Linked DNA regions of Alligator mississippiensis. The protein of the gene in region 4 purifies or fractionates together with the protein of the main gene of each other region. This does not show direct contact. Links are inferred from orthologs where the notes say so. Each region holds a gene or a part of one and is shown on either strand. Other genes may lie near its edges. The genes, in order: TROAP, TCP1, FAM53C and DCAF7.

The links.
Region 1: the proteins of DCAF7 (region 4) and TROAP purify together in Homo sapiens (affinity purification with mass spectrometry; 3 studies listed by BioGRID and IntAct, counting the BioPlex papers as one, with this or other methods). This does not show direct contact. The link is inferred for Alligator mississippiensis from reciprocal best matches to the Homo sapiens genes DCAF7 and TROAP.
Region 2: the proteins of DCAF7 (region 4) and TCP1 purify together in Homo sapiens (affinity purification with mass spectrometry; 3 studies listed by BioGRID and IntAct, counting the BioPlex papers as one, with this or other methods). This does not show direct contact. The link is inferred for Alligator mississippiensis from reciprocal best matches to the Homo sapiens genes DCAF7 and TCP1.
Region 3: the proteins of DCAF7 (region 4) and FAM53C purify together in Homo sapiens (affinity purification with mass spectrometry; 3 studies listed by BioGRID and IntAct, counting the BioPlex papers as one, with this or other methods). This does not show direct contact. The link is inferred for Alligator mississippiensis from reciprocal best matches to the Homo sapiens genes DCAF7 and FAM53C.

The regions. Positions count from the first base shown.
Region 1 is NC_081838.1:6,717,119-6,725,086, reverse strand, and holds the start of TROAP (tastin), read right to left. Parts: upstream 3,071-7,968; coding exon 3,066-3,070; intron 2,860-3,065; coding exon 2,541-2,859; intron 2,457-2,540; coding exon 2,321-2,456; intron 2,033-2,320; coding exon 1,863-2,032; intron 1,308-1,862; coding exon 1,214-1,307; intron 1,136-1,213; coding exon 948-1,135; intron 752-947; coding exon 658-751; intron 573-657; coding exon 493-572; intron 270-492; coding exon 213-269; intron 5-212; coding exon 1-4. Other genes in the region: PRPH (peripherin), read right to left, coding at 4,855-4,985, 5,560-5,609, 5,681-5,901, 6,073-6,198, 6,309-6,470, 7,059-7,154, 7,444-7,504. UniProt on the Homo sapiens protein: Could be involved with bystin and trophinin in a cell adhesion molecule complex that mediates an initial attachment of the blastocyst to uterine epithelial cells at the time of the embryo implantation.
Region 2 is NC_081824.1:137,785,813-137,793,691, forward strand, and holds the start of TCP1 (T-complex protein 1 subunit alpha), read right to left. Parts: upstream 3,008-7,879; 5' UTR 2,943-3,007; coding exon 2,870-2,942; intron 396-2,869; exon of another isoform or gene 261-395; intron 1-260. Other genes in the region: MRPL18 (large ribosomal subunit protein uL18m), read left to right, coding at 3,132-3,357, 3,695-3,878. UniProt on the Homo sapiens protein: Component of the chaperonin-containing T-complex (TRiC), a molecular chaperone complex that assists the folding of actin, tubulin and other proteins upon ATP hydrolysis.
Region 3 is NC_081832.1:79,616,978-79,624,360, reverse strand, and holds the start of FAM53C (protein FAM53C), read right to left. Parts: upstream 3,075-7,383; 5' UTR 2,984-3,074; intron 2,283-2,983; exon of another isoform or gene 1,895-2,282; intron 930-1,894; 5' UTR 1-929. Other genes in the region: CDC25C (M-phase inducer phosphatase 3), read left to right, coding at 5,871-6,016, 6,111-6,208, 6,424-6,463.
Region 4 is NC_081827.1:158,478,706-158,485,830, reverse strand, and holds the start of DCAF7 (DDB1- and CUL4-associated factor 7), read right to left. Parts: upstream 3,083-7,125; 5' UTR 2,874-3,082; coding exon 2,736-2,873; intron 1-2,735. UniProt on the Homo sapiens protein: Involved in craniofacial development. Acts upstream of the EDN1 pathway and is required for formation of the upper jaw equivalent, the palatoquadrate. The activity required for EDN1 pathway function differs between the first and second arches.

The DNA.
Region 1 (7,968 bases), on a different chromosome or scaffold from region 4:
GGGTCTGTGGAGGGGGTCCCGTCAGCTGAAACCCCTAGTCCTGCTCCATCTCCCACCCCCCCCACAGCTGAGCCTGGGAGAGCTCAGACCATGCCCCCAGAGCAGAAGCAGCATCAGACAGAGGGTCAAAGCCCCCCACCCACAAAATGGGGACAGGGCACCCCCATCCTCAGAACCCTCCAGTCAGGAGCCCCCCCCAGATGTGCACCCACCTGTTCCACGTGTAGCTGGTGCCTGTCCCCCATCTCCCTGGCACAGGCGGGGTTGGGCTGGGGAGAGAGCATGGTGAGACGTGGGGAGCATGGAGCCTCTGGCCCCTGCTTGGCCTGTGGAGAGGACCCAGGCATCTGTGGGGTCTTCCCCCATCCCATTTTGAGAAGGCCCCGGGGGCATCCTTCCCACCCAGGGCAGCAAGCAAGAAGCCATGCAGACCCTCCCCTCCCCGGTCCACCCACCCAGCCCGAGCTCCTGCTCCCACCCAGCTGGACGCACCGGGGACTGGGGCTGCGTCACTGGCGTGTGGCTGAACGGGGAGGAGTGGACGTCGGATGTGTGGGGTACCCGGGGGAGACCTGAGGGAGAAGAAGCGTAAGAGCAGGACGCCATGGGGGCGAGAGGCATTGAGCCCACACCCAGCCTAGGCCCCGCCATCTCTACCTTCCTGGCCCATGGTGGAGAGGCAGGACAACCGAGCAGAGTGACCCCTTGTGGGGATGCCCTCGTGGGTGCCAAGCAGAGAGGCCGTGCTGCCCTGGGGGGGGAAGAAGGCAGCATCAGCTCCTGGCCTTGAGAAGGGGTGGGAGCTGGCACTGCCTCCCGGCCTTGCAGCTGTGCGGGGGGCCTGGACAGCCCCCTCCCCCAGAACAGCAAGCAAACAGCCATGCAGACACCCCCCCCACCCTGATCCTCCTAACACACAAGCCCCTGCCGCCACCTGCCATGCGCACCGTGGGCAGGGGCGTCATCGCGGGCACTTGGCCAGACGGAGAGGCATGGGTGCCAGGTGCGTCTGCACACACTGTGGACTGGAGTTTCCTCGCCAGCACCCGGCCGAAGGGAGAGGGGTGAGCGCCAGGTGTTGCCTTCTTCACCGGCACCCGGCCAAAGGGGGAGGGGGCTGCCCATGCCTCCAGACCTGGGGGAGAAGGAGCGTGAGGGCAGGTGTCCAGGTGCTGAGCCCACCCGGCCCCGGGCAGGGTCCTGCCAGCCCTACCTTCCTGTCCTGTGGCAGAGAGGCAGGACCCACGAGCAGAGTCACGCCGTGGGGGGACGCTCCCACGGGTGCTCAGCGACAAGGCCCTGCTGCCCTGGGGGGAGAAGAGATGTCAGCCCCGTCTGCAAGAAGGGACCTCCCACCCCCTTGAGGATGCAGTTGCCTGCAGCCACCGCCTACGCTGGGGGCCCAGCCCAGCCGCCCACCAGAATCCCCCGGGCCGATGCCTCTGCCCCTCCAAGCAGCAAACTGGGTTGGGGGACGACCCCAGTAGCCTGCGTGTGCCGGGGAGTGGAGCAGGAGGCTGCACGGAGGAGGCCTGTCCCTCCTGTCCCATCCCCTCTCCACCCCGAGGACCCAAGGACCTTGCATCTCAGCCCAGAGCAGGAAGGGCGTGCAGGCCTGTTTGCACACACACGGACAGGCCTTCAGGAAGGGGAAACCGAGGCAGGACAGAGAAACCAGGAACAGAATCTCATTTCCAGCTTCTAAAGGCACCCCCCACCCGCTCAAACCACTAGACCACACTGTCCTCCCCCAGCCTCTAGGATCCCAGGCACCTCCCTACAGCCACCAAGCTTCACCCCAGACGCCATGACCCCGTGCCCGCGGGGCAGCATGGGCTCAGGGGACTCTGGCAGGGACTTACCTTTGTGTTGCCCTGGGCCAGGAGGGAGTTGCTCCTGCTGCCTCTCAGGGGGATGCGACGTGCCAGGCTGGGCTTCCCGCCCGGGCCCAGGACAGGGCTGCACAGCCTCACGTTGGAGAGGATGCCGGCCAGCGCCGCCGGGTCAGCCACGAACTCCACCGCACTGGCATCTGCCGGAGGGAGCACAAGGGAGGGCTCAGGCCCACCGCCCCTGCCAGGCCTGGAGCTGGCATTGCTGGCACGCAGCGGGGAAGCAAGAGCAACGACCCTACGTGTGGGTCCTGGGGTGGCTCCGGGCAGGCGCAGCTCCATGCACGGAGCAGGGGACTGGGGGCAGCCCCAGAAACACGACATCAACCCCCCCGCCCGACCTGCCCACACTGGGGCCGACGGCCCCACACCCTGCTTAGCCTGGGTGGCGGCACCCGGGGTGCCAGGGTAGCATCCTGCCCCGATACCTTTGCTGGCGGCGCTGCTCTCGGGCACCTTCTTCTGCCCCCCCGCCCCCAGCTGGATCTCCTCCAGGGGGGCCCGGGGCCGGCTCCTCCACCAGCCCGCGGGGCCGGGGCTGGGCTGCGTCCTCGGGGCCTTGCCCTGCGGGGCAGACACGGTCACGCGGGGACAGGCGCTGCCCCGCGTCTCGGCTCCCGGGCCGGGGGGCTGCTCCCGGGCACTCACCTGGCCGCCGGGCCCGGGGCTGGCGCTGGGGCCCGGGCCGTTCTCGCGGCCCCGCGGGGAGCGGGGGTCTCTCCGCGCCGCCAGGGCTCCGGGACTCGCGGCTGCAGGGACAGACCCGGTGAGCCCCACTGCGCGGTCGCGAGCACCCGCGGGAGGAAGCGGAGGCGGCTGCAGCTCCGGGTCCCGGCCGGCTCCACGCGCGACCGGGACCCACGCACGCACCGGGGACACCCCCGCCACATGGAGGCCCCGCCCCTGGAGAACCCCTCCCACGGGCGACGCACCTGCCCGCGTGAATTCCGCCCCAGCCGCGCGCCCGCTGATTGGGCAGCGCCCGCCGGTTCATAAAACAGCAACCGGCTCTCATTGGCCCGCGCGGGGGCGGGGACGGGCGCAGAGCGAGCCAATAGGGAGCGAAGAACGGGGCGAAGGGGGGGGATTCGTGGGTTTCCCTCCGGGGGAGGGGTGATCTCGCGAGATTTCACTTAGCGCATGGAGGGCGGGAACACCTGGCGTGTCAGTGACGTCATTGCGATCTAGCCCCGACCCCGGGGGGAGAAGGAAGAGACTGGGGGCGCGCTCCTTGGGTCCGAGTCGTTCCGTGCCTCAGTTTACCCAGCTATAAAATGGGTCCCTTTCTTCCAGGGCAGGGACAGAGGCAGAAATCCAACGGGCCGGGGGAGCGGGGTGGGCCTCAGTTTACCCGGCTATAAAATAAGTTCTCTTCCTTCGGGGGAACAAGAGAGGCAGAAATCCAATGGGCGGGGGGGGCTCAGTTTACTCGGCTATAAAGTAGGTCCGCTCCTTCCAGGGGAAAGAGACAGGCAGAAATCCAGCGGTGGAGGGAAGGAGGGGGCTCATGGGGACAGCTAACTAATTCTGGCAAAGGCGGGGTTGAACCGGCAGACCCCCCAGCCCGACACAACGGCAGGCACTGGGCTGCCCCCTACCGCCCTCGCGGGTGGGATCCCGTCTCCCCCCCGCCCCGTTCCAGGAGCTGTACAAGCCCCATCCTGCCCAGCCCAGGTCACCTCCCCCAGACAGAAACAAAGACCCCAGGCCTGCCCAGACCCCCCAGGGCTGGGTGAGACCCCCCGGAGTCCTCAGCACCCCCCCCCCCCCGCTGCCAGGGCACCCTCCAGTCACATGGCCCAGTCTGTTGCACTTGGCCCCACTGGCCCAGAGCACAGAGGGGAGGGCGGTCATTAAGTAAACCGTAATTAAACTATAATTAAACTGTAAGTTGGAATGGCAGGTTGCTTCCACGCCCCGGCTCACAGGATGCCACAACCACCATGGGCTGCAGCCCCAGTGTCCCCAGGACTGTGGTAACACTGGAGTCACCGCCTTGCCTCCCCCCCAGCCCCGGTGCCACAAGGGGGACACAGCAGAGCAGAGCTCCTCACTAGGCTCTTTATTGGCTGGACAAGCGGATACACAGCGGGGGTCCGTCGCTGTTCAGGCAGGTCGGGGAAGACCCAGGAGCACCACAGCAACTCCTGCAGCAGGTGTGGGGGGGGTCCCCCAGGGCTGGAGGGGAAGGGGTGCAGCTGGCCGAGTGGCCCCAGTCACATCCCCCTGGTTTGGTCCAGAGCAGACCGAGGCAGAGGGAGGGGATGCTGAGGCAGAGGCACCGAGTGTAACAGAGGGGGAGCAGAGCACAGAACAGGGGGAGCTGCAGAGAAAAGAGCCAGGGTCAGGGAATGGCCCAGACTCGTGCCAGATGGATGCCACCACCCCGAGCCCTCTGGCCTAGGTGAACCCTGGGCCTGGGGCACAGCTTTGCAGCTGGGCCTGGCTGCAGGAGGCAGAGATGGGTGCTGGGGCAAGTCCATGCTGGAAGCAGGGAGACGGGCCATAGTATAAAAATGGGGCAGCTTTGGTATCAGCCCTTCGGGCCGGGTGGGACCCTGGCTCTGGGCAGGAAGCACTCGCTATAGGCACCACACTTGAACAGCAGCAGCGCCGGCACCCGCCTCCGTGGGGGGCCCAGGCAGCGCCAGGCCCAGGACACAGCCCTGCAGGCGCCAGCTGGTCCTGGATCCTGGTGTCAGCCTCCACCAGTGCCAGGCTCTGCCCCCCTCCCCGTGCCAGTGGTGTTGGTGAGGCAGGTCCTGATGCTTCAGAAGAAGGTGGAGGCCCCCTGGAGGAGGCAGGGGAAGGGGAAGCTGGGTGGGGGCAGGGCAGGGCAGGACTCCTAGGTCCCTCCCTGCCAGCAGCCCCTACCCAGGGGGGTTATTGCTCTGCTCTCCCGTCCCCGAGCACCATGGGCCGGTGGAAGTTGGGTGTGCGGGGGTGCCGGGGCTCAGAGGTATCAGTAGTCGTGTAAGGCCGGTGCGGCGTGGGGGAGTGGGGGGCGGGCTGCAGTGGGGGGCTGCGCGGAGCCTGGTGCTGGGGTCACTTCTCTGACTCCGCTCTCTGCTCCTTCTGCGACTCCGTCACCACCTGCCAAGGAGCAAGGGGTCAGACCCGGTGTCCCTCTGTGCCAGGCTGGGGCCTGCCCATGTGGCAGCTTGAGGGGGAAGCAACGCCCCCAGGAGAGCTGGGATGGAGCCCAGGCATCCAGCGGACCCTGCTCTAGCCATTAGGTCATGCGTCCCCAGGCCTGAGTGAAACCCAGGAGTCCTGGCTCCTGCCAGGGCCAGGAGAGAACGCAGGTGTCCCTTCTCCCACCCTGTACCTGCCCCCAAGTCCAGCCAATGTTGGGCTGGGCCCAGTCCCAGGTGGAGGCTGCGCTGGGCAGTGGGGGGGCATTCACCTCTCCATCCCGGGTCTCAATCGTTTTGATCAGAACCATTTTTCTGGTGTGTGTCTCCACCACTGGCACCGGCTCTGGCTCTGGCACTGGTGGGCAGAGGGGACCATCAGGGAGGTCTCCAAGTCCTTCCTCTCCCTTTGCCCTCCAGGCCTCAGGCATGCAAGGTCCTGGGTGCACAGGGGGCAGAGATGCCCGGGGACAAGGCACACAAGACTGTGCCCTCCCCCCGTCCCTCCCACAGCACTGAGGGCATGGACTCACCTGAGCTTTTCATGGTGAAGGAGGGCATCAGCTGCATGGGCACAGTGATCCTGGGGGACAGACAGGGTGGTGAGCATGTGCCCGGGCCTTGCCCCACTGCCCACCCTGGTGCAGCGCCTACCTGCTCTCCTCGCCCTCCAGCAGCTTGCGGTAGGTGGCGATCTCGATGTCCAGCGCCATCTTGACGTTGAGCAGGTCCTGGTACTCACGCAGGTGCCGCGCCATCTCCTCCTTCATGTGCTGGATCTCCTGCTCCAGCCTCCTCACCGTGTCCTGGTAGCTGCTGATCTCCGCCCCACACTGCTCCTCAAGCTCCCGCATCTGCCGCAGCAGCGCTTCGTTCTGGGGGGTGCAAGAGGTGGGGGGAGGTGAGCTCACAGTCCCCGAGGCCCAGGATGACTGGCTTCAGACTGAGCCCCCCCCCCCGGCATGCTGCACAAGGCAGGTGGCAGGGGGTGCTGTCCTAGCGCCCGGGCACCCTGCTGTGGGGTGCAATGCACCCCAGGGACTCACGGTTCCTTTGAGGCCGTCCACCTCGCAGGTCAGGCTCTGGATCTGCCTCCGGGACTCGTTCATCTCCTGCTTGGCCATGCGCAGTGCCTCGTGGTTCCGGTTGGCTGCGTCTGACAGGTCAGCGAACTGAGGGGTGGGGATGGCACCATCAGGGCAGGGGTCAGGAGCTGTGTCAGGGCCTTGTACCCGCTACCCTAGCACAGGCCTCGGCCTGGGGCAGCTTCCAGGGTGCTGACCTTGGACTTGTACCACTCCTCGGCCTCCTGCAGGTTCTTCACTGCGATGCTCTCGTACTGGGTGCGGATCTCCCGCAGTGCAGCCGTCAGGTCCGGCTTGACCTGCTCCATCTCCACTTGCACTTGCTGGCTCTGGGCACTCTCCTGCATGTCACGCAGCTCCTGCCCGTGCCCACCACAAGCGCCAGGACAGAGCAGAGCATCAGGCAGACCCCCGGGAACGCTGCACCACCGGCCCCCTCCCCTAAAGAGGCTGCTCAGCCTGCCTCCCCCACCCTCTTGCGGCCCGCGGGCACCTGCAGTTCTGTGCATTAGCACCAGGTGGCGCAAAGGCATCTCGGCTGCAAAGTGTGCAGGGGGGATTCCCTGCAGACCACCCGGGCCAGGTCACAGCTTGCTCAACTCCTGGGGTCCCCAGCGTGCCCCCCCCAAGTCAGCACCCCCTAGACTTGCCCCTCCATCTCCAGAGTCAGTGCCCCATAGACCTGCCACCCTCCTCCCGATTCCCAGGTCCGCACTCCCAGGGCTACCCCGCCCTCCAGGCCAGCACCCCTGCCTGCCTCCCCCATTCCCAGAGTCAGCACCTCCCTGGCCTGTCCTCCCCATCCCCAGATCAGCACCCCCCCCCCATCCTCAGGTCAGCACACCTCACCTGCCCCCCCATCCCCAGATCCGCACCCCCGGGCCTGCCCCCATCCTTAAGTCCTCACCCCCCACCTGCCCCCCCATCCCCAGGTCCGCACCCCCCACCTCCTCATGCAGCTTCTTCAGGAACTCGATCTCATCCATCAGTGACTCGATCCTGCGCTCCAGCTCCAGGCGCGACAGCGTGGCGTCATCCACGTCCTGCGTGGAGGGGGGGGGGGTTTCAGAGCAGCCCGGGCTGCAGATCACCTTCCCCCCCCAGCTCCATTGGGCTGCTCCGGGGCAGCAGGACACGAGTGTGCTCACGCGTGTCCTTGCGCCCTCAGCTGGGCGGGGGGGGGGGGGGGGGTCTGGGGCGTGTGTGGCCGGCGGGGACGAGCCGGGACTCGGCGGAGCCGCTGGGCCAGATATGTGCACACGCGTGTCCGAGATCGCGCGTGGGACCTGGCTTCCCCCGCCCCACCCCATGGACCCCCTCTTAGCCCTGCACCTTCCGGAACAGCACCAGGTTGTTCTCCGCCTCCTCCCGCTTGTGGGTCTCGTTCTCCAGCCTGCGAGGAGGGGAGCGGAGGGGTCAGACCGGAGATGCGGGCAGCCCCTGCCCTGGGGACCCCCCGGGCCTCGCCCGTTCCCTCCCCGCCTCCCACGTGCCCCATTGCCCGCCCCCCCCTCCCTCCGGGCTCAGTGGGGCAGAAAGGCGGGGCAGCAGGGGAAAGCACCCCCACCCCCTTTGGATACAGGGGGGCCTCAAAGGTGCCCAAGGCAGGAGGAATCGGGCGGCCCCGCCCGGCAGCCCCCGGGCATGGAGGGGAGGGGGGACACACAAGCCCCGGCTCCTGCCACACGCCCCTCCCTGCCCCCCACCGCTGCAGTGACCCGCCCCTGCGGCTGCGGGATGGAGATGCAGCCCCCACCCAGCCGGCTCTGCCCGGGCCTCAGGTCCCGGGGGGACGGGTCCCAGCCTGATGCCCCAGGCCCCTAAAGGCAGGGTCCAGCCCCGGCCCCACCCTGTGCC
Region 2 (7,879 bases), on a different chromosome or scaffold from region 4:
TAAAAGTCTGGAATATAAATAATTTTTGTCTACTTTTGGCACATGTGCTTTTTCAGGGCCTATTTGACTGGGGAAATGAAAATGACTGGGGTGACAATATAAGGATCCACGACAAATCCATTTGCACAATTTGAATGGACACCACGAAGACACCTCGTTTGGCTTCAGGACTAAGCGTTGTTTTTGCCTAATACAGTTAATCAACCCACAACTGTAAATGTACTAAATGCATGTAATTTACTTATTATTCAAAGTCTTATTGTATAATGTTCTGCTCTCTCATATAGGAAAGAGATATTAACTATCTTTTCCTTCAGACTCTGGCACTTTTTTTTCTATCCCATAAGCATAGCCACTTAATCTGTAAATCGAGGAAGTGGCAGTCAAATGGGAAGTGTTCAAATCTGATCTTTCCTTTAGAATTCTAAAAGTACTAAACCCCTTCCTATTTTTTTGTAATCAGTGCATACAAAGAGCTGTTCTTGCTACTGGTATTTACCTGACGGTACCAAATTTCTTATTAATGTGAATTCACTTTATTTAATAGTGAATGTGGCAGACAGGTTACCTTCAGGGAGAGATCCAGCTCAGGGGCGGGCAATTATTTTGGGTGGAGGGCCGCTTACCCAGTTTTGGCAAGCTGTCCAGGGCCACATGGGTAGCTCCACCCCTTGGCAGGTGCCCCGCCCCTTTATAGGTGCCCTGCCCCCTGATCACCATCTTGGGACCAATGTCCCAATATCTTGGGACCAATGTTTCAGGGTCATGCAGGGGTCTGTGGAGCCAGGCTGGCCTGCACGAGCAGGGAGAGAAGGGAGCCCTGCTCTGGGCCCTGCTGGTGCTGGCCCCAGGACACCAATGTGGGCCCTGTGTTCCCACTGGCTCCCATGCCCACTCACTCTCAGTGCCCCCTGAGCCCTACGGTACAAGCAGGGGGCAGCATGCAACCCCGACCCCGCGCTTGTCGGCAGGAAATGAGCTGGTGCTGAGCACAGGGAAAAGCAGCCCCTCCCCCACCCTGTGGCCCACGCTCCCTGCTGCAGCTGCTCACAGCCTGCTGGGCAGCCCAGAGGCAGTGGAGGTAGCCTCAATGCAACCTACTGTGGTGTGAGCTCTGGGCGGGCAGCAGCAGCAAACACTGCCCAGCATGGCAAGCAGGGGAGCTGCAGCTGCTGCCACCGTGGCAAAGCCCCAACGGACAAGCCCAGAGCCAGCATGGGGCCTGGGCTGGCAGCGGGGGCGGGTTACAAGCTGGTACTGAGCATGGGGAAAAGCAGCCCCTCCCCTGCCCCGTGTCTGCTCAGGACAGCCCTGCGCAAGCTGCAAGTGGCTGCAGCAGGGAGCACAGGCCATGGGGCAGGGCCACTCTCCCCCCCCCCCACTCAGCACCAGCTCATGCCCCCCACCCACCTTTTCTTACCCAAGCTTCCTGTGCTGGAGGAGCCACCTGGTCCCAGGCCAGAAGCCCCCGCTGAGGCCGGGCAGGCCCTGCTGTTGCAGGAGCCTGCCAGGGCTTCCTCTGGGTCCTACTGTTCCTGGCTCCTGTCATTTTTGACAGGAACCAAGGACAGATAAATATTAATTTTCTAAATTTTTAGGGGCCCTGCGGGCTGGGTAGATGGCCTAGCGGGCCGGATCTGGCACATGGGCCGTATTTTGCCCACCCCGATCTAGGGGCGCTACAAGAACACTAGTGGAAACTGAGTCATCAAGAAATAAATCTTGAATGACTTTTCTCCATCTCCTGTTTCTAATCTCAGTTTTTACTTCAAGAAGAAATCCCATTTCAGTGCATTTGTGCACAGCTCTGGTAACAACTTGTTTCAAATATGGAATTCAAGGAAAAGTTTTCCCCCATTCAACATGGGGGCGGGGAAAAAAGCCCTTGTCTTGGGTTCAAGTAGGAGGCAAGGGTGAGGGGTAGGTGGCTGCTCCGACTTCAACCCAGGTGTGGGGTCAGAATGCTTCCCCCAGCAGCCCCTGCGCCCCAGCCATTTATCTTCTGCTGCGGCTCCAGGCTCAATCTGGCCTGGAGCACGTGGGGGCTCCAGCCTCCACCCAGCCAGGCAGTGGCCATTGTGGCAGGGGTTCAAGACAGGGCTAGAGCTGCTCCCTGGGTAGCCAGAAAGGCTGGCAGAGGGATGGGTGGGACCAGGGGGTGCAGGTACACGTGGGAGGGGGAACAAATAAGGGGGAGGGGGAACATGGAGGCACCGGGGGTAGATGTTAGGCCTTTTGAGCCCCCTGTGACCTGGTCGCAGTGGGAGAGGGTGGTGAATTCAACACGCCCCCTGATAATTCAATTCTATTTATGGAAGAGAAATAACTGCCCATCCCGAACAGCTCCATGCACGGGCCTGGCCAAAGCCTGCCCCACTAGCATCACTAGCTGTACGGTAATTATTGTATTTACTTCAAGTTCAACCCCTGCAAAATTAACAATAGTAAAAGCGCTCAAAACCTACAATTGTTTTTGAGGCAGCTCATACACGCAGCATATGCAAACCCCAATTCACACTCAGGGAGCCTCAATTGCCTTTCGGGCCGGCCGTGGGTGCTTCCTTATCACTCCTTGCCTCAAAATGAAGAAACGCTTCCACTTGGATGACCCAGGTCTTGCTCAGGAGCGACTCCCAATGAGCAATATCGAGTAAATGAGACAACCACCTCCTCCTTGCATGTTGACTTGTATATTGCCCAGTGTACAATATTTTTTTCAGCAAATACAGGAATTCTGAGTTTCTAATAAGATAATTTCATATTTAAGACCTGACAAACGCTGCCCCCACCCCGGAAGCGAGGGGACCCCGGAGCCGCGCGGCCCCTCCCCCCCGGCAGGCGGCGGTTGGCTCCGCCCCGCAGCCGTTACCGTTCTGGCTGCGGACTGCATCGCCGGAGCTGCGCTCGCCTAGCACGGCCAGGGGCCCCTCCAGCGCCGCCATGGTCCCGCCCGCACCACGCCGGCAGCCGCGAGATGAAGCGTAGGGCACGCCGGGAACTGTGAAGGAGAAGAGGAGAGGAAGCAGCCAATGGCTGTCTGGAAGGGCAGTAACGTCAAACGGCTGTTGCCCCAATCCGGGAGCTCCTCATAACGCCCGGCGAGCGCTGCCTGGGCTGCAGGCGCTGATTGGATGCTGAAGCCGGCGGGGAGACGCGAGTGCGGGCGTCACGGGGATTCGAAGGACATGGGCGGGGCTCAGGGCGAGTGCAGCGCTGGGCTTCCAGGACGTTCTAGAAGGCGGCAGCCGATTGGCCCCGCCCCCTGGCTCGAGAGCGAGGCTTCCCGGAAGGCAACCCGGCTACTGGGGCGGAAGTTCACGTCCTTTCTGTTTCCGGGGCAGCGGATCATTCCCCTTAGTAAGAGTCTAGGCTCAGCCCAGGAGGCAGCTTGGTGCGGGCGGCCGCATTTTGCCGCTGTCGCCGCTATGGCGCTGCGGAGCCGTGTCCGGTCGCTGTTGTTGAGTGTCGCTGCCGCCGCCAGGCTCCGTGGGGCCAGCGAAGGTGCCGGGGATGGGGCTTCCGCGTAGGGGGTTCCGTTGGGCAGGGAACTAGTCTTACGATCGCTTGAGTTCTGTTTAGACTTTACCCACGACGCGCAGAGTCGCTGACATCTTACAGGCGAGGCCATTGGCTGAAGTAGTTCTAATATTTCTAACTTATTTTTCCTTGTCTCTTCTTTTTGCTTCCCCGCAAGGTCTTCGTTTCACATCTGCTAAAGCCAGCTTCGAAGTTGCCGGTGCGGAGGCGGACACAAGTGAAAACGAGGTTGTCGCCCCGGATTTCGCCAACCGGAACCCTCGGAACCTGGAGCAGTTGGCGCTCGCCAGGAAGGAGCGCGGCTGGGAAACCACTTGGCCCAGCAGAGAGTTTTGGCGTAGGTGAGTTGTGGACTTGTTTGGCAATAAGTGAGTTTAAGAACCGGAGCATTTTTTTAAATCTGAGATCTCCAGTGGTACTCAGGAAGTGCTCGTAGTAAAACTGTTGGACCAGAGGCCCCCTCAAACTTAGGCTTTGTGTATGCAGGTAATTAGGGTCAACATAGCCTAGGCTGGTGATTCCTAACTTGGGTGCCTTGAGAGCCTTTGAAGGGTGCTGCGGGGTGCCAAGCCATGTTAGCACTGCTAGGTGTGTGGACGTGATTTGCAAGACTGAAACAGATTTCAGATAAGCCCTAAGGTTAAAAAAACATTCTGCCCCATTGTGGTCTTTCTGAGTTCTTTGCAACAGAAAAACTATTCTGTCTTGTTTTTGTAATTTAAAAAGCCTAGAGAGCTCAGAACTGGCATTTTCCAAGGGATGCCTTGAGCCTAATGAGCGGGTTGAGAATCGCTGTCCTAAGCTCCGTGGCTAGCCACAGTCCACCCAGCCCCAAACATTCTGCTGAACTTCAGGATATGAGGAAAGGCCTGCCTTGCAGTGTACCTCTCCCTGCAGTATGTTTGGAGATTGCCCAGATGCTGTAGGCCACAAGCACAGGAGTCCCTCCAGTGGCTGTTTTCAAGCTGCTTCTTCCTAACTTTCAGCCTTTCTGTCCTCAAATCTTGTCTATAATTGGAGACAAGATGTGCAGGAGAAACAAGTACCATATTTTCTTGCACATAGCATGCCTCAAAATAAAATATGTACCTTGTTGAAAAGTAGAAGGAAGGAAAAATAGCTTTCCTTGAAATAGTAAGTTACTGAGTAGCACAGGGGCAGGCAATTATTTTGGGCAGAGGGACGCTTACTGAGTTTCAGCAAGCCATCAAGGGCTGCATGACAGGCAGTCCAGGGCAGGTTAATATTAAATTTTCTAAATTTTTTAGGGGCTCCATGGGCCGGATAGAATGGCCTGGCGGGCCGCATTTTGCCCACCCCTGGAGTAGCAGCTTCTGCAGCACGAGCCTCGGCTAGGGAGAAAGTGTCCACAGCCAGCAGCTATGGAGCCCCGCTGTGCTGTCCGATATGCAGTGTTATTTCACTTTCCTCAGGTAGAGGCATTATTTCCCTGTTTATGACAGACTCTAATTCCCAGCAGCTGAATCTTGGAAAAGGGGTGTATGTTACATGCAAGAAAAATATGGTAATTTGCAGACTGATATCTACAAGGGGATCTGCTTGAAGGACAGGAAACATACTTTGGATGGCTTTGGTGTAGGCTGCAAGGTAAGATACAGATGAGGAAGGGTGGCACATGTGGCTCAAGTTGGTTGAGACTGACCCTAAGTGACCTCTCATCATGGATTCTGTGACTTTTCCTGTTTCAGATATGCAGAGGCATAGTCTTGTTAAAGATACTATGGGGTACTTTCCATCTGCTTTAGGGTTACTAACAGACAACTTGCATAGCAAGAGATGTGAATTTTCTCTTGTCTGTGATTGCCTTGTAACAATGCCCAGCTTGAGACACCTGGTTCGTGTCTGAAGATATAGAACATCTGTGCTCTGGAGCGGATTTCTCTTTAGGGTGCTTAGTGATGAATTACCCAATCTGGTAACACCCTAATCTCACTGTCTCTCACCCCATCCTCATCAATAAATTAAGCGACTGCGGCATTGATGCCTGCACAGCATGCTTAAACTCCAGGAGAAAGCACAAAAGAAAACTTCAGTATCCACAGACATATAAGCTCCTTCTCCTGTTGGCCTGGGGTAGATTCAGATCAGCAACCTAGACCAGAAAGGTTCATGCCTGTGTTCCTTGTCCTCACAGCCAGTCTGCTATGAATGAATTAATGACATTTTTTTTAATGTAGGGCTCAGCCCTGCAAGGCACTGAACACCACCAGCTTCCATTATGTTCAAAAGAAGTTAAACAATGTTCAGCACTTTTAAGAATCAGACTTTTTTCTACTACATATGAACATGGCCATACTAGACTGAAAACTGAAAAGAACATGGACAAGTTAGCCCATTTTGGTTTATATGTTTGCATTCATTTTTTGTGTCATAATCTGCATGTACAGACAAACAGAAACTTTATTTATATAAAAAATGCAATTATAATTGCATTTTAATTTACCCTAGCTCAAAGTATGCACTTCTCCCGTGAATTTATCTCCACTGTAAGAAAATACTAAGATTTCAGTTAGATATGTAACCCTGCTAACGTTATGCATTCTCTGTTATGGTCACTGGCTGTGTCTACACAAGATGCTGACTGTGCAGTCATTACTACACAGTCATTTAGTGCTTGTATAAACAAGCACTAAATAACTGTGTACTAACTGGAGTTACTGCTCAGTAGCATTGCCAAATGGCTTTTAGGTGACTGCGCAGAATCTTGTCACTACTGCACAGTAGCATCGTGTAATGCTTCCTGCCATGTGATGCTACTGCACAGTCAGCATCTCATGTACACACAGCCACTATGTATTTTTTTAGTATCTATAATTGAAGGTTTGAGCCTACTCACACCCAGGTTTACTGTTAGTAGGCCTGCTTTTACTGCTTGATGGTAAAATGTGCAAATGTAAAGGGCAGGTGGGTCAGATATTTGTGTCCACGGGCCCTCCTTTCCAAAACAGCGAAGTGTGTAGGTATGCAAAAGTTTAAAATGGAAAGTTAGAGAGGGCTCTGAGAGGTCAGCACTCACTTTGAGCTGGAAGAGATGTGCAGTGGGTGACCTTCTTTTCCAACACAGAAAAAGCGTATGTGTGAGGAGCAGAAGAGATTGTAGACAGGAATATAGCAGGGCAGTCTGGCCCTTTAAGTGGGATGGGCAGCTCTGAAGTAGGAGCCCAGCTGCAGGCGATCAGCTGCTAGTTCAAAGCTCAGGAGAAGAGAGAGCAAGCAGCCTGAGCTGGGGAAGAAGTAGTTTGTGGTCAGGAGGCAGACTGGAAGCCAAAGGAGCTTGCTTCTAGGAAGAGCCAGAGCTAAAAGGGTCCTCACCTGCTGCCTGGAGAAAGACTGAAAACTTTGCTCTGTCATTTGCTGCTTGACCACTGAGAATACACTGAGACGTTCCAAAGGTCACCTTGCTAACCGATGGTGCCTCAGCTTTACCTGTGTCTTGCCAGCATTTAGCAGAAGGGATTGTGCCAGCTAGCGTATCAAACCCTGGTCTGGTCATATGCTGAGAAATAAAAGCCTCCTCCCCTCCTTAGATGGGGACTTCCTTTTTGGTCAAAGGCTCTGAAATTACACTTGTCACTGACAAGTATGTCATAAGAGATAACAGAGGATTTATTATAAAGACAAAAGCAGTCATAAGAAATCAAGGACCATTTGTTGAGATACAGACAAATGGAAATATCAGAACAATGATTTTCTCTTATCCTAAACTCTAAGAATATAACTTCCACTTATTAGCTCAACAGATTAGAAAGCAGCCATTGCCTCTGACCTTCTTGTCAGGGTTTTCTGCAAATTCTCTTGTCAGCCTATCACACTCACCCCACTAGCTGAAGGACCAAAGCACCTTATGCCTGGAAAATTTTAGACAAACACTTGCTCCTGTGGCAAGGTTTAAGTACGGTTTCTTATCTGGCCATTTATGTATTATCCATTGAATTCTTGGAGTTCATACTATGCATTTGAATTCCTGCTCCACAAGGGTATATCTGTTTACCAGATCCAGAGATGGCTTTCAGACATAAAGACTGTGAATCTAATATCCTAAGAATCCTGAATCTTACTTAATTTTCCAACTTAATGTCCTTCCCTGAATAGCCAGGTGTTATTTGCCACAGTCCTCTCCTTTTAGAATGCAAATTTGTCTAGAAGGGCCTATTCATGTGTCTCAGACCACTTTGAATGGCCATTAAACATAACCATGTTGGATACTAATTCTCAGTAATTACTTCTCTCAGTCATTTAGGCTTTGGCCCTCTCCCAGATGCAAAACCCACTGTTTAAGGAGTAACATTATCATGTTATGCAATCCTGGCCTTACTATATG
Region 3 (7,383 bases), on a different chromosome or scaffold from region 4:
AGCTATTGGGCACAAAGAGCCCTCCCTCGGGTCGGGTCGGGATTGAAAGAGCAGGAAAACTAGTTCTCTTCCAAGGCAAGAAGGGAATCCAGGTGGGACACAATGAGATCTACTGTTCGCAACAACTTGAAGGACATGGTATTTATATACCTAAAATGCAGAGAACTACCTAATAGCTGCTTTTGAAAATCCTAAACACATTAGGACATACCTCTCATGGATTTCTGCACCTACTGGCCTGCCCAAGATGCCTGCCTTTGAAAATGCCGCTGAGAACTTATCTGTCACAGGGTGACCAGAAACAAATTGGTCAATTCACTCACTACAGTTCATGCTTCCTCTGTTTAATACGTTGGGTTCTCTTTTAAACGTAAAATTTGTTTTAAACAAAAAAAAATAAAAGTGTATATACCCAGTATATTTAAGGCAGTTTTAATTGGCTAATAAAAAAGCAGCGTTTTAAATGGAATTTCATGTATTTTCATTTCCATTCAAGTTGATATAAGCCACAAGAAAGAAGACTAACAAGGAAATGCATAATTTATCATTTCTAACATAAATGTAGAACTATCAAAAATTAAGAATTTGAATAAGTGCAGGTTAAGATATATAATTGCTTAGAAAAATCGCATACAGATTTTGCGCATCTTCCTGGCTAGCAAAGAATACCAACTTCAGTGTAAGAGCTACATTTAGTTGCAGATCAATGTGTTTTTAAATTGTTACCCTCCAATTAAAATGAGCTACTTTTCTAAAGAAAGACTAACAGCACAAACACAAAACAAAGTTAAGACTGACGGTTTAAATCACAGTTTACTCCTTAGTAATTAATTAAGTCCACCTTCTGATTCCCAATGCTGCTTCATTGCTGGGCTGGCACAGCAGGATACAAACTCAGCTGGGAGGAGGAGCAAGGGTAGGATCGGGGCCTGGGGAGAGAGAAGATTTACCAATGCAACCCCCTAGGCCTGAGCGCCGGGCAGGAGGCAGGAGCGCATCGCAGCTCCTCTGTGGAAGGCGACGGGAGCCTGAAGCAAGGCAAGGGCAAGGGCAAGGGCAAGGACAGGAGCAGTCCTGGAACTGATGGCCGCTCAACCGCTCCGATTGCAAGTTAGCTGCCCCAGCAGAGTGACATTACACAGAGCAACTTGTTGACTCCAGCACGTGCTGCTGTTGCTCCTCTCTCTGGAGCCCGCGGCTCCCACGCCCCCGTCTGTCCTGCTCCGGCCACAGGGACGGGGCAGCAGACCTATGGCCAACTGCGATCCCAGCTGGGCTGGGTTCATGCTGCTGCTTAAGAAAATGCGAACAGCAGCAAAGGTGGCGACTGCAGTTACACCCCAAAGGCAACAACCGAAGGGGTGACTGGGAGCAGCGAGGGAGCAGAGGCTGCCCGACCTGTAAGAGACCCTTGCCAGGGTGCAAGAGCATCTCAGCGTGCTTAATTTGTTTGGGAGAAAAACCAGATCCGGATCGTTACAAAAAGGCCACCCCCGTAGGGAGGATGCAGGGGCTCCCCCTCCCCGAAGAAACTCCGTCCCTATCCCAGGGGGGTCACAAAGCGCTCCTCCAAGGAGACGCCTCTGAGCCCCACCAGGCACGGCCATCGCCCATCGCCCAGCAGCCACCGCCACAGCGCAGACAACAGCCCCGGCCCGGCCCCGGCCCCGGCCCCGGCCCGAGCTCGCGCCGCGGGACGCCCAGGGACCCCGCAGCGCCCGGCGCCGGCCGGACCCGCCTGGTTTGCGGCAAGCTTCCCCCGCAGCTCCGGGCGCGACCCGCCACCCCGCACGGCCCTGCCGGCTCCCGCCGCCCGCCCCGGAGCGCCAGCACGATGTCGGCCCCATGTCCCGCGGGGCCTGAGCCTGCTCGGCGCGCTCGGGAAACCTCTTACCGGGCGGATGCCGAAGGACGCGCGTGTCGGCTCCTCCAGCGCCCGCGTCTGCAGCTGCTCCGCCACCAGCGGCACCATGGCTCCCGCGAGCCAGGCCCGCCGCGCCGCGCCGCGCCGCGCCGCTCAGCAGGGCCGGGCCGGGGCAGCGCCCGCCGCGCCGCTCCTGGGCCCGCCCGGCCGGGGCTCCGCGCGCGCCATCCCCGCCGCCGCCCCTGCGACACCACGCCGGGGTCCCTGCCCCGCGCCGCCCGACAGCGCCCCGCCGAGCCTCCGGCCACCAGCCCCGGGCAAGCGGGGCCCCGGCGCCCGGCACCCGGGCCCGCTCCCACCTCGTCCAGCGCCCGGCTCGGGCGCGCGGGCGCCGCCGGCTCGGGCTCCCCGCACCCGGGCCCGGCCGAGCCCGCAGCGCCCGCGCGGCCCGGGCACCCTGGGAAGTGTAGTCCGCGCCGCCGCCATCGCCATCGCCGCGCCCGCCCCGGCCCCGGGGCCCGCAGCACCGCCGCCCTCACCCCGGCCCGGCCCCCGCCCGCCCGCCCGCCCGCCCGCGGCAGGGCCCCGCCGCCTCCCTGCGCCCGAGCGGGCGGCCCGGCGCTCACCCCGGCCGGCGGCCCGCGTCCCCTCGGCCCGGGGGCAAGGCAAGGGCCCGCCCCCCCGGGCCAGGAGCGCGCTCCCGCCGCTCCCCGGGGCCAGGAGCCCGGGCAGCAGCTGCGTCAGGGCGCAGGCTCCGGCTCCGGCGGCCCCCACCGAGCCGGCTGCGGAAGACGGGGTGCGCCGCACGCCCCGGACACGCGGCCCCAGCCACAAGCAGCGTCTCCCCGGACGTGCAGCCTGCCGGGATCCTCCTCGGGGGGCAGGCAAGGAGACGAGGGGCCCAGAGCCGCCAGCTGAGCGAGGGGGAACCAGCGTGAGCCCGACGGGAACAGGAAAGCAATCCAAGAGAGAGGCACAAGGCCAGGCCCCGAGCGAGGCCCGCTGATCCCTTCCACCACTCTTCCCCGCCCCCAGCGCCCCCTGCTCAGCCCCACCATCCCTCCGCAGAAAGCCTCCTGCCCCGTGGACCCCCGCACCCCACCAGCATCCCCCGCCTACCTCTCCTAGTGCTGCTCTGGACAGGCTCTGGGGAGGCCAAGCCAAGGCTCCCAGCCAGTGATCAGAGAGGCAACACAAAGGGTCTGTCTCCATCTCCAGCGCTGCAGAGAGCTGCCAGGCCCTGTCTTGCAAGGAAACAGCAGTTCCAGTCACTGACCCCAAAGAGAGAGGCAGCAGCAGCAAGTGCTGGGGCACACCAGGGCTCAGAGCTGCGGGGAGGCACAGCAGTCTCTCTCCCTTGAGCCCCAGCCACGGTGGGCAGGATTGCTCCCCAGAACACACCGATGCACAGCCACGTGGGACACTGCACCCAGTCTTTGCTCTCTAATCAGACCCAGCAACCGAAGGCCCGTTCCCCAGCTCTGCCCCCCTCCCCAGCAGCACCGGAGATGCCCGGGTAACTCCACACAACGCAGGGAACCAGTTTCCACGGCACATGGTGCACGTCAAGACGTGCGAACGCGTCCCCAACACTGTGCACGACACGATTTCTTTGCATAGCCCCTCTCCTTCCAGAGGTGCAAAGCACCCGCTGCCCAGTATCATAAGGCGCCAAGTCTCAGTGGGCCCCTGACAACTGGAGGCCTGGGCACGTTAACGCCCCATTCACTGACCGTCTCGAGCCATCTGCACGGGCAGGTGTAAGGGCAGCCGCACTCAGCGAGCGTTTTGAGGCGGCACTAAGGAGACCACCATCCAGCCCAGCGTGGGCACAAGCTGCCCCGTCACCCTGCCGCACGAGCACTCCCCCTGGAAGGCTCTGGAGGAGCCAAACACCTGGCAGACACTTCCCTCTCAAGTCCTTGGTGGCACTGGAGAGGATGCTGGCTGGGCGGGTCCCACGCGTGCAAGGCCCGTCTCCACAGCCGGATCTGCATGTCCCAGGAGCGGCGGCTGTACTTCTTGTACTTGTTTGGGGTCTGAGGGTGGACCTCTGCCTGCCGAGTGGACCTACAAATACAGCATCGCATTCGTCATGAGGAAGGGCCAGATCCTCCCACCTCGGGACAAGACCCCTTATCCTAGCGGGAACAGGACAAGAACGGCCCCGCCGTCCCCTGGGGCAGGAAGAGCAACTTGCCCGTCGGCAGGGTCAGCGAGGAGGAAGAGGCGCTCCAGAGCCAGGGCTCCCAGACTGTCTTATTGCGTGCCCCCTCCCAGATCTGCCAGCTGCCCCTTTCACGCCTATTATTATTATTATAATGGAAATTCAAGTTGCCATTACCCAGTTTCTCTCAGGTACCCCTCACATGTCTTGCACACCCCAGGGGTGCAGCTTGGGAGCCCCTGCTCTGGAGCAAGCTCTGACGTCTCCCCTGTGCCGAGGGCCTGTGGCCAGAGCCAGCAGGCCCGCACGGGGAGAGGAGGTGAAAGACAAAGAGCCCTCACTTGGGAACCTGCTGCAGAAAGCGCTGGTAGCCCAGGGTGTTCTTCCCATAATCAATTTGCTTCTGCCTACGCTGCAGGGTGCTCTCATCCGTCTCGATGTCAGATCTGGGGAACAGGAACCCAGTCAGCACCGGAGACCCGAGACCCGAGCCTGGACAAGCCACGTCCCTGGCAGAGACCACCACACCTGCATCCCGAGCCGGCTCCTTGCGCTGGGCTGGGCCACGTGCCGACCCCGACGCTGACCATGCGAACTCGGAAAGAAACGGGCTCGGAGGACACGGGCCTGCTCCGGGGGAGAAGAGCTTGCTCAGCGGCACCCCGCAGCGTCCAGGGGGCTTGTGTCACCGACGGAGGCGCCGCGCCGCGTTCCCCCAAGTCAACCGCTGGGTCCGGGACGCGGAACCGGAGCTGCGCCACGGGGCCCCCGGGGGACGGAGCCCCGGCTCCGCGGGAGCTCAGGCCCGAAGCACGGAGGTCTGCCAGGGGCGCGCGGGATCCCTCCACGCGCACCAGGTCCTTTCAAGGGCGCCGCGCAACGGCACCGCTGCTGGGTGCGGACAGGGCTCGGCGCACACCCGGAGCTGGCGTCACAGCCCGGGCGACCTGCGGAGGAACCGCTCCCTCCCTTCCCTTCCTGCGGGCATCGGAGCGGACGCTTCGCAGCTACGGGCGCGGCGAGCCGCTGCTCCGCGCACGGGGCGCTCCGGGCTGTGCGGGGCGCACGGACGCGCAGCCGCACCCGTCACACCGCGCAACTGCCTCACCCAGCCCGCCGCTCCCGCCCCGCCCCAGTCTCTGCGGGGGACCGGCGCCCCCCACAGCCGCCTGCCGGCACCCGAGCCCGCCGCCGCTCCCCCGCCCGCCCCGGCGCCGCCTTTCCGCGGGCGGGCATGCCGCGCCCCCCGGGGGCCGCAAGGGTCGGCGCGGAGACCCCCGCCAGGCGGGCAGCGCCCGGGTCTCCCTGCGCCGAGCCCCGCTGCCTTCCCGGACGCGGCGGGCGGGAGCCTGTGCCACAGCCGCGGCCGGGACCGGGACCGAGACCCCGGGCTGGGCACCGGCAGAGCCGCGGGGAGCGGGGCGGGGCGGCCGTACCTGCGCCCCGCCGCGGGCCGGGAGGAGGCGACGGGCAGCATGTACGACACCGCCCGACCCGGCCAGGCCCGGCCCGCGCCGCCTCTTGGCGCCTGCGCCACGCCCACGTGCGGCGTCGACAAGCTCCACGTGCGCCCGCGTGCGGCCATTGGCCGCCCGAAGCCCCGCCCGCCGGCGGAAGCCCCCAATGGCAATAGCCCTGCCCGCCCGGGCTCCAATAGCGGGCAGCGCAGCGAGCCAATCGGAGAGCGGCTCTGGGGTTTGTTTTCCCCCGCCCCCAGCAGCGCGCTGATTGGTGAGGGGCGGAGAGCAGCGCGCTGATTGGCCGGGGGGCGGGGCGGCAGGGCCGGGGGGCGGGTTCTATTTACATTCAAGTGGGCGGCGCGGGGTCTCTCCGCGGGCCATGTCGGGGCGGCGCTCGCCGGGGCGGGGCGGGTCGCGCCTGGGGCTGCGCGCCGGCTGCCGCATGGTGCTGGGGCTGCTGCGGGACGCCGACCTCTCGCTGCCCTTCTCGCCGGACCTCGCCCGGGGCCTCCGCGCCTCGCCCGGGTGAGCGCCGCTTCGCCGGCCTCCGCGCGGGCCGCCGCCTCCCGTGGGGCCCGGCCCGGCCCGGCCCTGAGCCGCTCGCGCGTTCTCCCCGCAGGGCCACGCCGCGCTGCTGCCTGGACCTGTCCGACCTCAGCGCCGGCGAGGAGATGACCGTCTTCCGCTTCGCGCCGTCCCCGGGCGGGCCCGAGCCTGGTAGGCGCCGCCGCCCCCCGGCCCCTGCCCCGCCGCCCGGCGCTCGTGGCGGCGCGGCGGACCGCGAGGATGCGCGCTGGGCCGCGGCGGGGGCCGGGGCTGCCGGGCGTTCCCAGCTGCCCGGGCCCGCCCTGGTGCCGGCCGCCTTCGCCTCGCTGTGGCTCGTGCCCGGCGCGGCCGCTCGCTGCGGGTGTCGCCTACTTGTGTCTCTTCAGTTGCAGGCCGGACGGACGCGCCGGGACGCGGGCAGGGGCCGTAAGTGTCCTGGCTGCTCGCTGCTGCGGGGCCGGCGGTCTCTGCGCGGCAGCCTGCGCCGTGCTGCGAGCGGGGCCTGTCCCTCCCGAGGCTCCTCGTCCGCTGCGAGCGGTGGCGGGCGTGTCTTGTGCCCGGGTCAGGAGTGCTGGGTCGGGCCGGGCGGACGTCCTGTCCCGTCCCGCGAGCCGTCCTTGCCTCTGGCCGGGCAGCGGCTAGGGCTCTGCTGGCTCGGACCGTGTCGCGCCCAGCCTGTTTCACGACGCTGGGAGTCTGGGCGGTGGCGGCACTGCGCGGCAGTTTGAAGCACAGCTATTCTTTGCGTGTTCGCAGTGGGTCGATTGGCCCAGGGCTCTCCCTTTGCGCAGAGCGCGCTGAAGTGGATCTGTCTCTGCCTCGGCTGTCCTGTCTTACAAACCTTCCAGCTGCGCTGATTTTAGCGTTGGCCTGTGGCTTTTCAGCTGCCGAGTCCTTGTCCTCCTACTTGAATCTCATTTCAACACAACCCCTGCCCATCTAAGCGGTTAGCCGAGGAACAGAGATGGTAGTATTGTTGGTTCGCTGCTGTGCCCGCCTGCCCATTCAGGGGACGGTCCAGCCCGTTCGGCACGTGTGGCTGGGATGCTGTCAGAAACGGCTGTTGACTCGCTTGTCAGCGTGTCCGTGCCGTTCGGGTGTTGTCCCCATCTGGACAGCTCCTGCTGAGCGCGGACAATGCACGAGTTCCTAAAGAGCCTAGAGCGGCTGCTCGTCCCGCAGCGGTTGGGTGTCTGCAGTACCTGCCTCTTCCAGGTCTAGCACCTGCTGGACCTGGACAGGTGATGTTTGCACAGAGGCTGATGCGCGGGTGCCAGCTGTGTTGGATTTGGTGTTATTTCTTACTCGGGTTGACACCAGAATCTGGAAACCAGAGAAACGAGTGA
Region 4 (7,125 bases):
CAGTGATTTAAACAGCCTAACACTGCCTCTGTGTGCAGCTACCATAGATGTAAGGAGCAAGGGCAGGACAGCATGTAGTTTGAATGCTTTAAAACTACTTCAAATCTGAAAGGCAGAACAGCCTAAAAGCAGACAGATGGGACTACTACAGGCTACAAGAACCCTTGGAGGATCCCAGTCTTAGGGAATAGAGATGGCATAACACCAGCTTTGTTCCCCAAACCACAAACTTATTTTTGGTACTTCTCAGCAGCCAGACCACAAAATGTGGCCAGTACTCTTAAGCAATCCAATCTAGTCCAATAACTGCTGGGGTTTATTATATTAGGTCTTCTAATTACAGTAACAATATTTACAATAGACTGCAACCTCATAGCATACATAGCCTGACTTTTTAATCAATGCCTTGATCTCTTAATGAAATGCATCACCATTGTAACCTCTCAGGTTTGACGCCAAGAAGGTATGACACAACAGCATCTAGTCAATGAATACATATCAGGTGAGGACACAGTGTTGGTACAGCAGAGAGTCCAACAGTCAGCATCAGTCAACTTATCACAGAAATACTGGTATCTCAGGTGCCACAGCCTGGAAACTTGGTAAAAGTTGGCTTTTAGTGGCTACCGCTATACTCATCTTTCAAGGAGGGCATCAGTTTATCCTTTGTCCTGTAAAGTTTTAACATTCAGAGTCAAATTATCCACTGCACAGAGTTTTCAAAATGAAAAGCATTTTTTTGCCCTTCCAAAATAGGTTTTATTTAAGCCTTTTTAAATGAGTAAGAATTCACCTTTAGAATGAAATGAGGCTCAAAATTTTCAGATCAGGAAAAGAATTTTTGGAGGAAGTTGATTGCATAGGGTTTTAAATGAAAGTATGTTCCAACTGGAACTACATTAGTTATGGTGACAGACAGCCAGAAACTAACTTCTCTGGGCCCAACAATGAGCAATTAAGCAGCCCTGTTAAGCTTCACTAGCTTCTGTCAAACAGTGAGACACAAGTTGGTTTTTACCCTCCCACCATATGCTGGTAAACAGTGAAACCTAAATACTTCTGCCTGAAAGTGTACCACTGGTTATTACAAGTAACGCCTACTACTATAATTGAAAGGAAAAAAAAAGAAAATTTCACTTTCAGTCCATTTGACACCACTCAGTGTATTTGTTTTATCCTGCTTACACGGTTCTTTCACAACAAATGGGATATTTAAGCAAAACAGGAACTAATGGAAGATGGTAGCACCATAGGCTATTTTGAAAATTATTAATTAAAAATTACTCTGCTCCCAGAGGATCTCCCCCCATAAAACTCCCCACTTGTAGGAAAAGAACATCATGAAGCCAAACTGTCAACTAAACTCTGTGCTGGTCAGAAGTAAATTAACCATCAGTGAATAAATTAACTTAGAAAGTACTTTATATAATGCTGTACAGACAATAACTTAATGATTTTAAGTGAAGTCACACCATGACTGAAGAATTCAGTCTATACACCACATTCAACATAGTCTGTAACAGGGACGTCCATCTGTCTCCAAGTTCCCTCCCCACCTCCACTCTTTAGCTGCCAGCGAGTGGAGCAGCGCTGAGAGCAGGTCCTGGGCTATGCAGGGAAGAAGAGGGTGGGAGGATCAGGACCCCAACCAAAGTGGGATTGAGCATAAGCAACAGCTGGGGAAATCACCCATGTTGTGGAACACAGGAGGGAAAGGGAGGTGAAGTCATGTGCCCATACTTGAGTGGTACCGGGGTTGTGGGGGTGGGACACTGCCTGTGGTGGGCTTGCAGTACAGTGGGAGTGGTGGGGAGGTGAAGAGCATCTAGATGCATGTCACGCTCAGTGCAGCCTGTGGCCCCCAGCGGTGCAGCCCTCGGGGGCTCAGAATTTGTACAGCCCTGCTCTATAATATTTATTCCTTTATTTCATCTCTAGCATCACATTTTTCCCATAGGATGGGGAGCTCCTGGGGTCTGCACAGAGTGGACTGAACCAGGGCCTGCAGAAGTGATTAGCTAGGGTGAGCCTGGAAGATGAGACTTCCGACTTGTATTCAGTGTGGATAAACAGGAGAAGCAGCCCACCCTGCCAGGGACAGATAGTGAGGACTCACTTCCCTGAGGAAGCCAAGGGAGCAGAGGGAGACCTGGAAAGTCAACAAGGGACCTGCAAACGTGAAAACTTTTATCCCTGCATGAAGCTTTCCCACTGGAATGAAATCTCGCAAAAGCCTACAAGGGGGAGCCACAAGAGTTGTGCTCCACAGCTTGCCAAGGCTGCCCGGGTGGTGCAGCAGTGCGCTAGGAAGCCCACAGCCGGGCATGTGCCACGCCAGAGCCTTTCCACCCAAGCCCCTTGAAGCAGCATGGCCCTGCTGCCTCCCAGGTCGGGAGGCTCCTTTAACACCTAGGCCTTTTCCCAGGAGCCTCCAGCCTTGCTCTGGAGCCACAAGCAGCAGCTTCTGGTCTCAAACTGCAGCAAGGGAAGTTGAGTTTGGATATTAGAAAGACTCTCTCACTAGGAGGGCAGTGAAGCACTGAACAGGCTACCAGAGGAGCTGTGGACTCTCTCCATCCTTGGAGGCTTTTAAGGCCCCACTTGGCACAGCCTGGGCCAGGATGATGTAGCCGGGGCCGCTCCTGCACTAGGCGGCTCCCGAGGTCCCCTCCACCCCCCGTCTCCGCGGCGCAGCCCGGGGGCCCAAGGGGGGAGGGAGGGCGGGCCCAGCCCACCTTGTTGTTGTACTCCTCCACGAAGCTGCCCAGCGCCAGGCGGAAGCGCTTGTCGGGCCGGACGCTCCAGTTCATGGCGTACACGGTCCAGGGCGCCTCGTACTTGTAGATCTCCTTCCGCTTCCCGTGCAGCGACATGGCGAGGCGCGGCGAGCGGGACCGGGCCGGGCCGGGCCGCGCGCGGAGCGAGGCGGGGGCTCGCGGGCCGGCCGGAGCGCGGCGCCACGCGGGCCCGAGGCAGGCGGCGGCGGTAGCCGCGGGCGGGCGGCGGGCTCCGGGCCCCGAGCACCGGTGTCCAGCCCCGGAGACAGCGAGCGCCGCGGAGGCCGTTTGAGATTCGGCCGCTCACACAACAGGAGCGGAAACCACGCGGGGCGCCCCGCCCGTTGGAGACCGGTTGGCTGCGCCGCCCGTCACTCCGAGGTGGGGGCGGCCATTGGGCAAGCCGCCTGCCAGTCACAAGCCCGCCGTGTCCCTATTGGCCGTTTTAACTTCCATTCTGAGCAGGAGCTCGCTGCATTGGGAGAGTTCCCTGCCGCTCCTCTTCGGCCCGCCCCAGGCGCGCGGGATGCGCGTTCTCAACATCTCATTGGTTGCAGCGGGGCGCAGTGGCCAGGCCCCTCCGCGAGGCGGGTCGCGCAGGCATGCTGCCACCCTATTGGCTAGCGGACGTGTCCGTTCGGGGTGAGCTGTCGGGCGGCGGGGAGCCCTGAGTCGGCGCTTCGAGGCGGGCTGGAGTGTCGGATCGAATCCCGCTCCCCGCGCCGGCCTGGGCTTCGCACGGCAGGCTCCGGCCCTTCAGCGGGAAAAAAGCCCCGCCCCCGTTGAGGCGCTGCAGTAAGGGCCGGGCTGCCGCTTCCCAGAGCGGGTCCTGGCAAAGCCACCACTTTTGTCCCTGGCTGCAGCGGAGGGTCACTGCGGAAGGAACGGGAGCTTGTGTGATGCTCAGGCCCAAAAAGCCTGCCCCACATTCGGGGGTAGCCCAAGGGCCTGGCTTGCGGGGACGGGGGCCTTTTAGCAAGGCCAGCACAGCCCTGGAGACGAAGCGGGAGGGGAGGCGCTTGCTCAGAGAAAAGCCTGGTGAGCGTGGAGCCAGTCTCCAAAGGCCCACTGCACACTTGGCACCAGTGCCACCAGCCAGCATTCTCCACCTCCGCGTCCAAAATCCCTTGCAGTTGTGCTGCAGCTGTGCGGCACGTCACTCGAGTCAGGACTGTTCCCAGGAGCAGGCCGAGGCACGGGGGCCCTCCACCCTGGTCTGCTTGGCTCCCAGCGTGACCGTGTGAAAGCTACTTTCCTCCCCCTGCCTCAATTGCCCATCTGTAAACCAGGGATGGGACAGCTCTGACTATCACCACTTTGTCCAGTCTGTCAGATATAGGAGATTGGGAACAGTGCTGCAGTAACTGTGTTGGGCTAGGTAACACTTGGGAAGCAAGGTTTGGTAATAAAAAATTCAATCTGTTCCCCCACCCCCAGGCTTAGTTGGCTAACACCATATTTTCTGCAACCTAGTTGTGTTCCCCTCCTCACCCCCATCCCTCTAATGTTAGTCCCTTGCTCGGGCGATTTGTATTTCCCTACTGGCTTTGTCATCTTTTTGGATTCACAATCCTAAACATTGCTAATAAAATTCAATCTGTATTAGGCCAACTGTGCAATTGGGAAGAGGTGTTTGTCAGCTTTTGGGCCCAACGTGCCTTTACTTGGGTCAGTTTCCTCAATACATTTTGTGCCCAGAACTTAATTAATGTCTCTCCCAGCTATTTGCCTAGTCCAAGAAAAGATATCACCAAATACGTCCTGCTTCCATCACACAGGTTATGAGTGCCACATTTCAACTTTTTTTCCTGTGCTAAAGAAAACGGGGCTTTGATCCTTGAGTGAGGTCCTTCGGTATTACTATAACAACAATAACCGTAGCAATGAACTGTTCGGCACTTGTAGAGGGTACATCCTGTGCTGAATGATTTACAAATGCCTTGTCACTCTAAGACACCCAACCAACAGCTTGCAACCTAGAACATTATCATTAAGCTCATCTTGCATGTGATGATATTGAGACACAGGGTGAGAACAGTTGCAGGGGCAGGACCATGCCCCATCGGGGACTGCACTAGGCATTCTGAATTCCCCAGTGGTATTTTCCCTGGTGGATTCTGCAGTACCATGTGCAGGAGGTGACCATATCACTGGATGGGACAACACACACATACAGCAGGAATCCACAGGGGCAGGTACTGGGACAACTAGACTGTGAGCAGTGCCTTCCCACAAGCAATTCACTTTGCTGCAGTGCTGCTTTGAGCAAGGACATCTTTATTATTTGGGTTTTGCTCGCTTGTCTTTGACTGAGACAAAAGTTCATGGAAGTTCTTAGAGGTAGACAAGGAGTCAACAAAGCAGTATTTTCTATATGTACTTAGTGGTGATTAAAAAGCAGCACCCCTGTCTCTCATCTCTTTAAAGAGCAAGGAATCACCAGACTGGATTAGTGCAGGGTACATGTAACTCAGCATCGTGTCTCCAGCACATCTGTCTATTCCAGAGGAAGGTGCAGGGAGCTCTGAGGTGGATAATTCTGGAGTAACCTCAACTCATGGGTGGTTGGCTTCTGCCCTGAAGTGTGAGGCTTTATTATCCTTCTTACTTCTTTAATCCTCTCTAACTCAATCCTGGATGCTCTCAGGATTCATATAAATCTCAAATCCCTTTTTGAATCCTCCCACACTTCTGCCAGTTCAGACTAGCCTTCTGTGTGTGGCATGTTGGCTATGAGCAGGACAGATCCGGTGAGAATGCTGACGTGGATTAAAGACACTGCCATATAGGATCTGCAGAAGCTCCATTGCCTTTTGGATCTCCAGGCTGAGGCTGGAGCCCTGTGGGGGGAAATGCCTCTGCCTGGAATGTCCCTGCTGCAGAAAGCTGATACCGACATTCTCCTGAAGTATAAATAGCTGCATCACTGGAGCATGTGTGTAGCCAGAGATAAGGATATGAGGCCCAAGCCAGACACAAAACAGCAACAGGTGCTGGAGAACTCCTTTGCAGCCAGGAGTTGCAGGGTCCAGCATTTGTAGTTGTTTCAGGCACAGGCATTAACTGCAAGGGGCCTACAGGACAGGTTTTGATTTCCTGCCATCCTGTCCTGAAGGGAAGGTGAGATGCTCTTCCATTCTGCTGATTCCTCCCTGCCTGACAAGGAATCCTGCCTGGCTCCTCCAGACTCTAAAGAAGAGTAAATTGTCTTTCAGGAGCAACCAATTTGTACCAGGCTGTAAATTGGTTGGTGGGCCTGCTCCCATGCAGGCAGGCTTTGTCCCCTTTGGAACTCCTCAGCCAGTCCAAACAATAGCCCATAAAACAAACTGTAACCCTTAATCCAAACAAATGAGCAAAACAAATCTTCAGCCTTTCTCCAGGCAGCAAAAGAGGCCATCTTAGCTCTGGCCCTTCCTAGAAGCAATCTCCACTGGGGTTTAGTCTGCCTCCTGGCCACAGACTGCTCCTTCTCCAGTTTGAGCTCCTTGCTCTCTCTCCACTTGGGCTTTTAACTGCTAGTTCCATAGTTTCTAGGGTCAGCAGGGACCTGAACAGATCTTCAAGTCTGACCCCCTGCCCTGTAGATCCCATGGCACATGAGGTTTGCTGCCTGCCTGGAACTCGGATTTGGAACGTCACGGCAATGATCCCAGACCTCATCCAGCCCTCTGATCACTACCCCTTGGTCCTCATCCATGTGGGCACTAATGATGTGGCCAGGAGTAGTTCGGACCATGTCATGAGAGACTACAAGGCTCTGGGAGCCAAGCTTAGGGAGACGGAAGCACAGGTGGTTTTCTCATCTGTTCTTCCAGTGAGCAGATGCGGATGGCACCACAAGGCCTGCATCGGAGAGGTCAACCGGTTGCTTCAGAGCTGGTGTTACCGGGTGGGCTTCGGATTCTTCGACTATGACCCTGCACTTCCATGCAGGAGACATGCTAGGGCGGGACGGGCTACATCTCTCCCCAAAAGGTAAGCGTGTTTTCTCTTCCAGGTTGGCTGATCTCGTACGGTGAGCTTTAAACTAGGTTCATTGAGGGATGGGGATGCAGAGGTGCAGGAGGACACTTCGATGTCAAGCCAGGTGACACGAGCAGGAACAACCCAGGTAAGTGACAAGGGCCCGGGCAAGCTTGGGAACAAGAGGGCAGCATAAACATCCATAGGAGGTCTCAATTGCCTCTACACAAATGCTAGAAGTATGGGGAATAAGCAGGAGGAACACACCCTCCTGCTAGCTAGCAAAAACCCAAACCTGGTTGGGCTTACAGAAACCTGGTGAGATTCTACTCATGACAGGGCAGTAGACATCGAGGGCTATAGGTTGTATAGATGAGATAGA